2 linked regions of the Oryzias latipes genome follow. The protein of the gene in region 2 purifies or fractionates together with the protein of the main gene of each other region. This does not show direct contact. Links are inferred from orthologs where the notes say so. Each region holds a gene or a part of one and is shown on either strand. Other genes may lie near its edges.

What was found.
Region 1: the proteins of ccnk (region 2) and cyclin-dependent kinase 12 purify together in Homo sapiens (affinity purification with mass spectrometry; 6 studies listed by BioGRID and IntAct, with this or other methods). This does not show direct contact. The link is inferred for Oryzias latipes from reciprocal best matches to the Homo sapiens genes CCNK and CDK12.

What each region holds. Positions count from the first base shown.
Region 1 is NC_019866.2:5,843,556-5,848,025, reverse strand, and holds the start of cyclin-dependent kinase 12, read left to right. Parts: upstream 1-1,508; 5' UTR 1,509-2,399; coding exon 2,400-3,577; intron 3,578-4,470. Other genes in the region: F-box/LRR-repeat protein 20, read right to left, coding at 1-25. UniProt on the Homo sapiens protein: Cyclin-dependent kinase that phosphorylates the C-terminal domain (CTD) of the large subunit of RNA polymerase II (POLR2A), thereby acting as a key regulator of transcription elongation.
Region 2 is NC_019882.2:3,583,692-3,587,979, reverse strand, and holds the start of ccnk (cyclin-K), read right to left. Parts: upstream 3,001-4,288; 5' UTR 2,863-3,000; coding exon 2,854-2,862; intron 2,402-2,853; coding exon 2,169-2,401; intron 1,967-2,168; coding exon 1,885-1,966; intron 1,792-1,884; coding exon 1,660-1,791; intron 1,554-1,659; coding exon 1,448-1,553; intron 1,374-1,447; coding exon 1,316-1,373; intron 1,184-1,315; coding exon 1,014-1,183; intron 937-1,013; coding exon 728-936; intron 638-727; coding exon 607-637; intron 496-606; coding exon 427-495; intron 129-426; coding exon 1-128. UniProt on the Homo sapiens protein: Regulatory subunit of cyclin-dependent kinases that mediates activation of target kinases.

The sequences.
Region 1 (4,470 bases), on a different chromosome or scaffold from region 2:
AGACGCCGTTCACCTCCTTCCCCATATTGGACTCAACGAATTCGGTGTGAGCTCGGGAAAACACAGACTCGGGCCTTTTCCACGATAATCATATCCCCCTCGGTAGTTCCCAGGTCGCGACGTCGCTGTCTCTCACGGCCTGTAATATAAACAACCAGACATCTTATTTCTGGTTAAAAAAAAATTAAAAAAAAATAAATGCAGGTTAGTTAGTGGCAGCAACAGCCAGCCAATAAGCCACCTCTCTTCTTATCTACTCGGTTTGCCCTCACCTCCTCCTTCCCCCGTTCAGCTTTAGATCCATCCACACAATAGCACGACAGGAATGGGATCAAATTGCCTAAAACTGTAACGCTTCTTCTATTTCACTTGCAAATAATACATTATGTCGCTTTGAGTCGTGGTTTTCCGTAAATTAGGACAGCTGTTTTACTTACTAAACGGGTTTGCTTTGATCGCCTGCTGATCTTTTACTAGCCAGAGCTCCCAGTGTGAGCCGAGCACAAAGATATCCGTCAGTGTGGGGTGTCACCCTTTAAACGAGCACATGTAGCACAAATACCTGGCCTGGCAGGGCTTGGGTAATATTTATACATATCCGATTTATACCGTTTTATTTTAATCCCAAGATAATGAGTTTAAAAAGTTCCTACCCGTCTTTAAAAGGTACACACGACAGAAAACAGGAATGCACTGATCTTTTATTTCCCATAAATTGTTACAGAACTGGTTCAGGGATAATTCATAGAAGCTGTGGATGTCAATAATAATGTCATAGTTTGTATTTGAACACTTTATAAGGCCACGCAAACAAAAACTGAAACGGTATAATTGTGTGGTGGAAAAAATGTACTTCCGCGTTGGCTCTTGAACACGCCCCTTTTGAAAAATACAACTAACCAGAATCCAGATCCACTCACAGTCTATTACGTATTAAGCCTGTCAACCAATCATTGTCGAGAAAGACAGCAGCTAAAAACATAAACAAAATGAAACGATATTAATAATGTCTGTATTTCTTTTAATCTTTAGATTGTCTATTTGAATCATAGTGATTTATTGTTTAAAAATGTTTAATCATTTTCGTTCAGAAACTTTAATATGTAATTAGATTTTATTTGCGTACAGAGACTGTTTCTAATATTTGACTCCATAAAGTTTTACATGACAGTTTCGGCCCTTTATTTCTGACGATTAATAATACATAAAATAACATAAGTCAAACTAAGAGGTCCGTGAACCATGTTATAATACACTCGTGTCTTTGGTCATATGTGAGAAAACCGAAAGTTTTCGAACAGTTTCAATATGCGTCCTTAAATTTAAAGCCATCGGAAAATCTCGAAAAACTTAAGCCTTTTTATTGAAAATAGGCTTGATGGGGAAATTATCTAAGAAATATTGGTTTTCTTTGTTTTTTACTTAAAATGTTACGGGCTTTATAAGTGAACGTCATATAACTAAAGCTATCATTTTAATTTAATAGCAAGTTTTTATATGTTTTGAGTCGTCGCAGCTCGTATCAAACCGAATAGGCGGGAGCTTGAATGTGATTGGCTGTTGCTAAGATACGTACAAGATTGACAAGGCACCGTCTTCCGGTTTGCTTGCTATGTGTGCGCAGACGTTGTTAGCCACGGGAGCCACAATGGCGTTTGTAGTCTCCTTCAGATAGGGCTGTGGATGATACTAAATCCACTAGCATCGCCCTAACTAAAGGCCTGGTTGATTTCCAGAGCCATTGATAATAAACTGGAACAATTATTGCACACTTAAATACTATGATTTCGAATCATTACTTACTTTAAAGGGGTAAAACTTACATTAAAGGGAACATGTAAACAGAGCCAACCGGGTCAAGTTTTCAGTTTGTTCGAGAAGCAGGCGTCTTTTATTGAAGACATTTGCTTGTTTCTGAAAGCTGAGACCGTAAATCTGTGGAATAAAACACCTTTACTTAACTTGGCACCGGACAAGGACAGCTTTCACAAAGGGATTTTTTTTCTTTTTTACGAGTCAGCTTTCTTGCTGCCGACCATTAGCTAGCCGTGCTAGCTACGTTCAGACGGAGACGAACACCACAATGCTCCTATGTTTGGTTTGGACCTTTTTCGTTCACTAATTGAAGGTGCAGAATTCGTGGCACTGGAAAACAACCTCGACATCCTTTTTGCCTTGACGAAGCAAGTTGGTGACCTTAAGGAATGAATTGGCGCTAAGGAGGACTGGACTTGAGCGGCCTGGACGAGTGTGTATGTCTTGAGCTGTTAATTTCTTTTCTTTCATTTTGTTGTTTGATATAGCATCAGTCTTTTGTGGCTTTTGGAGACGCTACTATTCTGTGAATGTATTGCCTGGATCACCGAGGCCCGGTAACAGCAGAGACCCCGGCGTGAGGTATGCCTGGGTCGGAGCGACATCATGGGACCAAGAGGAAGCCGGATTTTAGCAGCGGTGTGTTACACCAGCCCCAAGGCCCTGCCCATACCTCTGAGGAAGACATGACGAGCAAAGACGGTAAGCTGCAGTTCAAATCTTCCATGACTTCCTCCTCGTCTGCAAAACGTAAGCGGCATAAATCAACCAAACATAATCGGGAGTCATCGGCGGCTTTGAGGACCGAAGGTTTTACCCTCGGCGATACGGCGCCTCCTGGTGTCAATACGGTGAAGCCTCTGGTGGAGTACGATGATATCAGCTCGGACTCGGACACTTTCTCAGATCCACCGTCCTCCAGACCTTCTGATAGAGGGGGCGTGGACCGATTTGATCCATCACCGGAGTACGATCGAGAAGAATTAGAAGTAGACAGACAAATTGAGAGTAGAGAAGAAAGGCCACCCCGAAAGAAGTCCAAGGACCCGAATAAAGTTAGGGACCCTGGAAATGGGGAGCATGGGTACAAAAAGAGGAGCAGCAAAGATCAGGAGAAAGGGAGCTCCTTGAAGAGCAGAGATAAGACCACTGCCTTAGGTTCCTCATCCAGACAGCAGCTCCAGGCAGAAGGGGACTTCAAACGTGTGGATCCATCCATGCTCTCAGCCCAGGTGCAGCCTGCAGCCAGTGTGGGCAGCACCACTTCCTCCACATCCTCATCCCGCAGCAAGGAGAGCGGGCGCTCCGGGAAGGGCCGCAAAGACAAACAGCGCAGAGAAGGCAGAGGAGATGGAAGCCACACTTCTTCTCAGAGGAGCCGCACAGACAGGACCCACCGCCGGTCCTCCAAGAGTCACAAGTCAAGCCCCAAAGGCAAGTCTTCAAGTAGAGGTAGTTCTCGCAGGAAAGGAGTGGGCTCTGCTCTGTCACCCAGTCCCCGAAGAAGACCTGGCAGTGAGAGCCCACTAGGCGGTAACTACGGACAACAGGGAGAAGACAGTTATTCCAGGAGAAGAATGGTTCAGCAAAGCCCCAGTCCCACCAGGGACATGTCCCGGCGCAGCAGACAAAGATCTGACAGCCCTTATGGTAGTAGACATAGGTCCTCCAGCTATGAGAGGGACAGCAGCCCTTACTCCAGAAGGCGCTCCATCAGCCCCTACGGTACCCGGAGGTCCTCCAGCACCAGCCCGTTGTCTCGGTAAGTCAAAACGTCACTTTTAAAGACCCACTCTGATCATCTTTTGGCCATTTTTAGCCACAAAAAAAAAAACGGTGTAGTTGTAAGCAGGATTGTTGGTGTGGAGCAACCACCCCTCCCCCTTGTCATCATCCATAAATGAGAGTTCTCTGTTTACACGCTCTCCTGGTATCTTACAGGCCCTCACACCCCCAACCTAACATTACAATTTTGAGCTGGATGCCAGTTCAGACGAGGAAAACTAAGTCGTACGTGGATTTAGTCAGAAGCGTTAGCGTATTTTCTATGACACAAATACAATCCTCCTGATTCACAGGAATTTGGACAAAGAATTGGTCAAATGCAGTTTTAAGCTTTTTTTCCCCCCTTAATATATGTCCATCATCAGATGAATGCCACAAGAACGTGTCACAAACCGCCCCGCAAAACACATGTTTTTTATGGGAGTAGGGTCTTTAAAGTCCTGCTGCTAATAAATGCTGACTCTGGTTTTTGCAGAGAAGGAAAGCAGTCGGAACAGTGGAAGGAGTTGGGCTTTAAATTAACCCCTTTTTGTCTGCCAATGGTCATAGACTGTAGGCATTGGTCCACACCCTAAAATCTGTTCCTCTGTCAAAGACAAGTTTTTGATCACAATCTGGAGATGCCACATTTTAAAGCATATATTCAATAATTAGTGTTGAGGCCAGATAACATTCTGTGTTTTTTTTTTTTTTGAGGCTGAAAGAGTAAGTTCTTTGCTGGTCTAAGGAATTTTATAGCATGAGCTCATCTAGACCTTCACTTGCCTCGTCCAAGTTATTCCTGAAGTGGATTATTTGGATTTTACTTTAGATGGTCATCTTTATGACCTCCATTGGATTTATTTCTGGAAATAAAGTGAGAAAGGTTGT
Region 2 (4,288 bases):
GGACATCAGGTAGTTGGAGGGTGGAGGAGGTGGAGGGCGATGGGGCAGGGGAGGGGGCTGGTGGGGAGGTGGAGCATGAGGGGGAGGAGGAGCCACTTCACTTCCTGGCTCTGCTTCTGCAGGAGGAGCTGGTACAGGAGGAGAAAAAACAACAAGTTAGATGTTTCATGACCTCGAATGACCTCAGTTCTCCAACAATGAAAAGAGGAGCCCTCCTCGTTTGGATTAAGCCCTAATCAGATTGGTCTGGAACAGCCTGCATGTTTTGAAACAGACGAACTGATTACATAAGTCTGATTTATGAGCTTCAGTTCCTATCTAGCCAAACATGCAAACAATAAATCTGCCATCAGATCAGCAAACTGGAGTATAAACACTAATCCTGTTCGGTTCAACACAAACAGAAGTTCAGGAACAGCTGCTCACCTGGTGGTTGAACAGCCGGTAGTGGGGGCATGGGACTCTCCAGTCGGGGAATTTTTGATCCAGTTTGTTCTGCAAATTTAAAATTAAAAAAATTAATAAAAAAAAAAAAAAACGGAACAAATATTTAAAATATTCTCTCTTGCAGATTTTTTCTGCGAAAAAACGAAGAAATTGTTTCACCTGGAGCCTTTGGTTCATCTTTAGGGGATGTCTGAAAGAATTTACAAAAAAAAAAGCGAGTTTACCATCTGACAGCTCGTAATGATGTTAAACAGCTGCTGCGTAGACGACTCCTGCTTACGTGGGAGCGTTTGAGCTGCCGTGCGGGACTGCCCCCCTGCGGCGACGTCTTTTTTGGCGGTGGGGGAGGCGGGTTGGAAACTGGGAGCTGCCCCTGCGGCACCGGCGACGCAGTGGGTGTGACAGCCGCCGTCTTCTCCTTCTCTTGGACCTGCTGAGGGATGGGCTTGTTCCCTTGAGAATATAGGTCCAGGATCTGGTGGCAGATGTCTGAAGGGACCAAAGGAAGCTGTGACTGAAAGCCCCACGTTTTTGAGGAAAACAATAAAGTTTTTTTTTTTTTTAACCTTCAAGCAGCTCAACTGGGACGTCCTGCACAAACTGCTCCCACCAACGCCGCGACGATTGCTTGGAGGTCCACTCCTGGATGTCAAACTTACAAAGTCGGCCTGCTAGGTACATGACGGCCACGGCGATGATCTCCGGCTCCCACTGCAGGGACAGCATGGTGCACAGGCTGCCAGGGACGCAAATAAAGCAGTGAAGGCCTTATCTCAACTGTGTAGATCGATTTATTCTAACTCAAACACACATTTAGCAACAACTACAAGATTCTTAAAAGCTCAATGCGAGAATCAGCACCTCTTACCTGTCATTGACGAAGGTCCAGGCCATTTGGAGCACCTTGCATACTTTGTTCTTGTCTCCTGAAGCACCAAAACAAAACATGAGTCTTTCTGAGCTCCATTGGGGCAGCGGTTCTGCACGAACCCCGTCCCACCTTTCAGCTGTTTGACGTAACGCAGCAGGAACATGTAAGGGTGCTCCACCTGCAAGTCAAACTTGATGGTCTGGAGCAAAATCCTCTCCAGCACCATCACCTCCTCCTGTTTGAACAAGGTCAGACATGACTGTCCTGCACTTCAGACTCACAGAAATGTGTGGCATGAAAGATTCAAAAAAAAAAAACTGTTTATTAAAATAGAACTGCACCTTCGGATCATCTCCAAACTGGGCGAACTGGACATCGTTGAGTAAACTGCGAGCTGTTTTAATGATATCTTTACACTTCTTTGGCGTTTCCTCCACTTTCCCAGCCAAGAAAAGACAACAGGCACCCGTCACCTGTAGAAACACAAACCCAAAATCCCACATTAGCTTTTGTGTTAATGAAAAAAAAAAAAAAATACCAAAAGAGTAAATAAATCATGAACATACATATCTGGGAAACTGCTTGAAGGAGTGAAACATGTAGAAGCGATGGAAATATATGATGCCAGTTGCAAGAGTGTCATAATGTCTGCTGGCAGTTAAGAATCCATTTCAGAAGGACAGAAGCATAGAAACAGTAAATCCCTCACCATAGGAGTTTACTTCATGCACAATAGAAGCCTTAAAATCGCCCAATCATGATAAACAAGTGAGCTAAATGTACAGAGAATGCATTCAAATAGCTGCAAACTGAGACCCGTTGCTCAGATTACTGAACCCATCGAGGATACAGGCCGAGTCGAGTCCCCACGTCAAAAATGAAGCGGGCTCCTTCTCTCCTGTACCGGGCCTCGGTCCCGGGGTCAAGACCCTCGGACTGGGAAGGGGTGTGGGCTAAATCCTTCTTGTCCCAGTACCAGCACGGCTTGATGTGATCCAGGAAGGACTGGCCGCCCGAGAAGTCCTTGGACTCCTTCATTGACTGAGGGGAGGTGGTGGATGGACCTGCTGTGCTGCTGGACTGCTGAAAATAGCAATAAATGTCGATATTATGGACAACTTTGGTCAGTCAGATGTAGCTCTTTCATTCTGATTTAAATACAATTTTGTATTTAAATGGGCCTAAATTTATTTAGAGAGTCGTGTAAAAACGTCCAAAAAATAAAATAAAAGCCAGAGATTCACAAATTAATAAAAGCTTAGAAAATGATCACCAGTGTTCACCGCTTTCTCTTTAATGATGCAAGTATATTAATAAATAAACCTAAAAATTGGGATTTTTTTTTGAAGAAAAAAAACAAAAACTCATAATGGGGGGGGGGGGGGGGGATGTTCCCAAAACATGCCGGCCAGTAAAGCGATGAAACTGAATGAATGTACCCGCTAACGGCTAGCAAAGCCGCCGGAGCCGACAAGCTACGATAAATAAGTCAAATTTGGAGTCACCGGACTCCGGCGGAAGGACGCAGCACGTACCTTTATCATGTAGGCGACGACAGGATTAACCGGAGAGCACAAACGCGACACGAGACTTCAGTTATTCACCCAAAGTTAGCGACAGATTCGAACAGAACACCCGCTGGCACAACAGAATCGCCATTTTGAAGAACGTCAAGTGCGGCTGACGGACGTCATGACGTCACAAGCAACCGCGTGCGCTGCTTGAAGAGAAAACGTTACCGTGTACTACGTAGAACCTACTGGAGACGTTTTGTTCCCGACAGTATCTGGAAGAAAGGCTGGACTGTGACCCAAAAATTTATGATAAATAATAAAATGAAAGAAGTTTCTTATAAAATAATTCACAAAATTTACCGCACCAATCAATTTATGCTAAAATACATTAAAACAATTGACCCTAACTGTACTTCTTGCAAAGAATTTCCAGAAACAATTGACCATCTTTTTTGGAATTGTACTATAATTAGAATATTTTGGAAAAAATGTTTGCAATTTATTAGAAATCGCATTCACCCCAACTTTAATCTAAAGTTTGAACATATAATTTTTGGCCTTCATAATAAAAATTTGGAGTCAAACAAAAAAACTCATAGTTAATCTTGTTATTATTTTTGGCAAATTTTATATACATACATTTAAATTTTCTCCATCTTCTATTTTTCCCTATTTTAATCAAACAAATTGAAATGTATATCAGTAACATCTCCAAGAGTCTTAATCAGAAAGCAGTATGTCTATATGAAAGTTGCAGAAACCTGAATGTTTTTATGTAAAATGTATTTAGTATGTATGCTCCCCTGGCATATCTGAATTTTATTTAGTAAAATTGTGTTTTGTATCGTACTTACGTTTTGTACAATAAAGTTTAAAAAAAAAGAAGAGAAAACGTTATTTAAATGTATAGAATAGCAACTTACTGCTTTGACTGCTCTTGTTTATAATCTTTTTTCGTCCTTTATTCTTTATGTTCCCCTGGCACATTTTGTTATTCTTTTTTTATCTGTGTACTTAAAAACTGACTTGATTTTGTATCCTGTACATCTTCAATAAAGTTTTGAAAGAAAAAAAAGAAAAGAGGAAACGCTACAGTAACACACTGGTGGAAAAATGTGATTTTTAACATCATTGCAGAGTCCAACTTTATTACCAATTGACCCAACTAAAATACAAATAGGTCAAATCTGTTTTTCTTCTTCACGTAACACAAATCGCCGCATGTGCTCACTCTTTCAGAAGGATGTTGTGTCCATTCCCTATGTACTTTATTGGAATAATTGAGTTTACCAATCATGGAAAAAGATCTGGAATCTACCAGAAAAATATTTCTTAACCAATAAAGTGAAAGAAATCTCATTTAAACTAATCCATAAGTCTACCCAACCAAACTGTATCTCCAAAGGTTCAAAAAGGATGTTGATGTCACCTGCTCTTTTTGTCAAGAACACCCTGA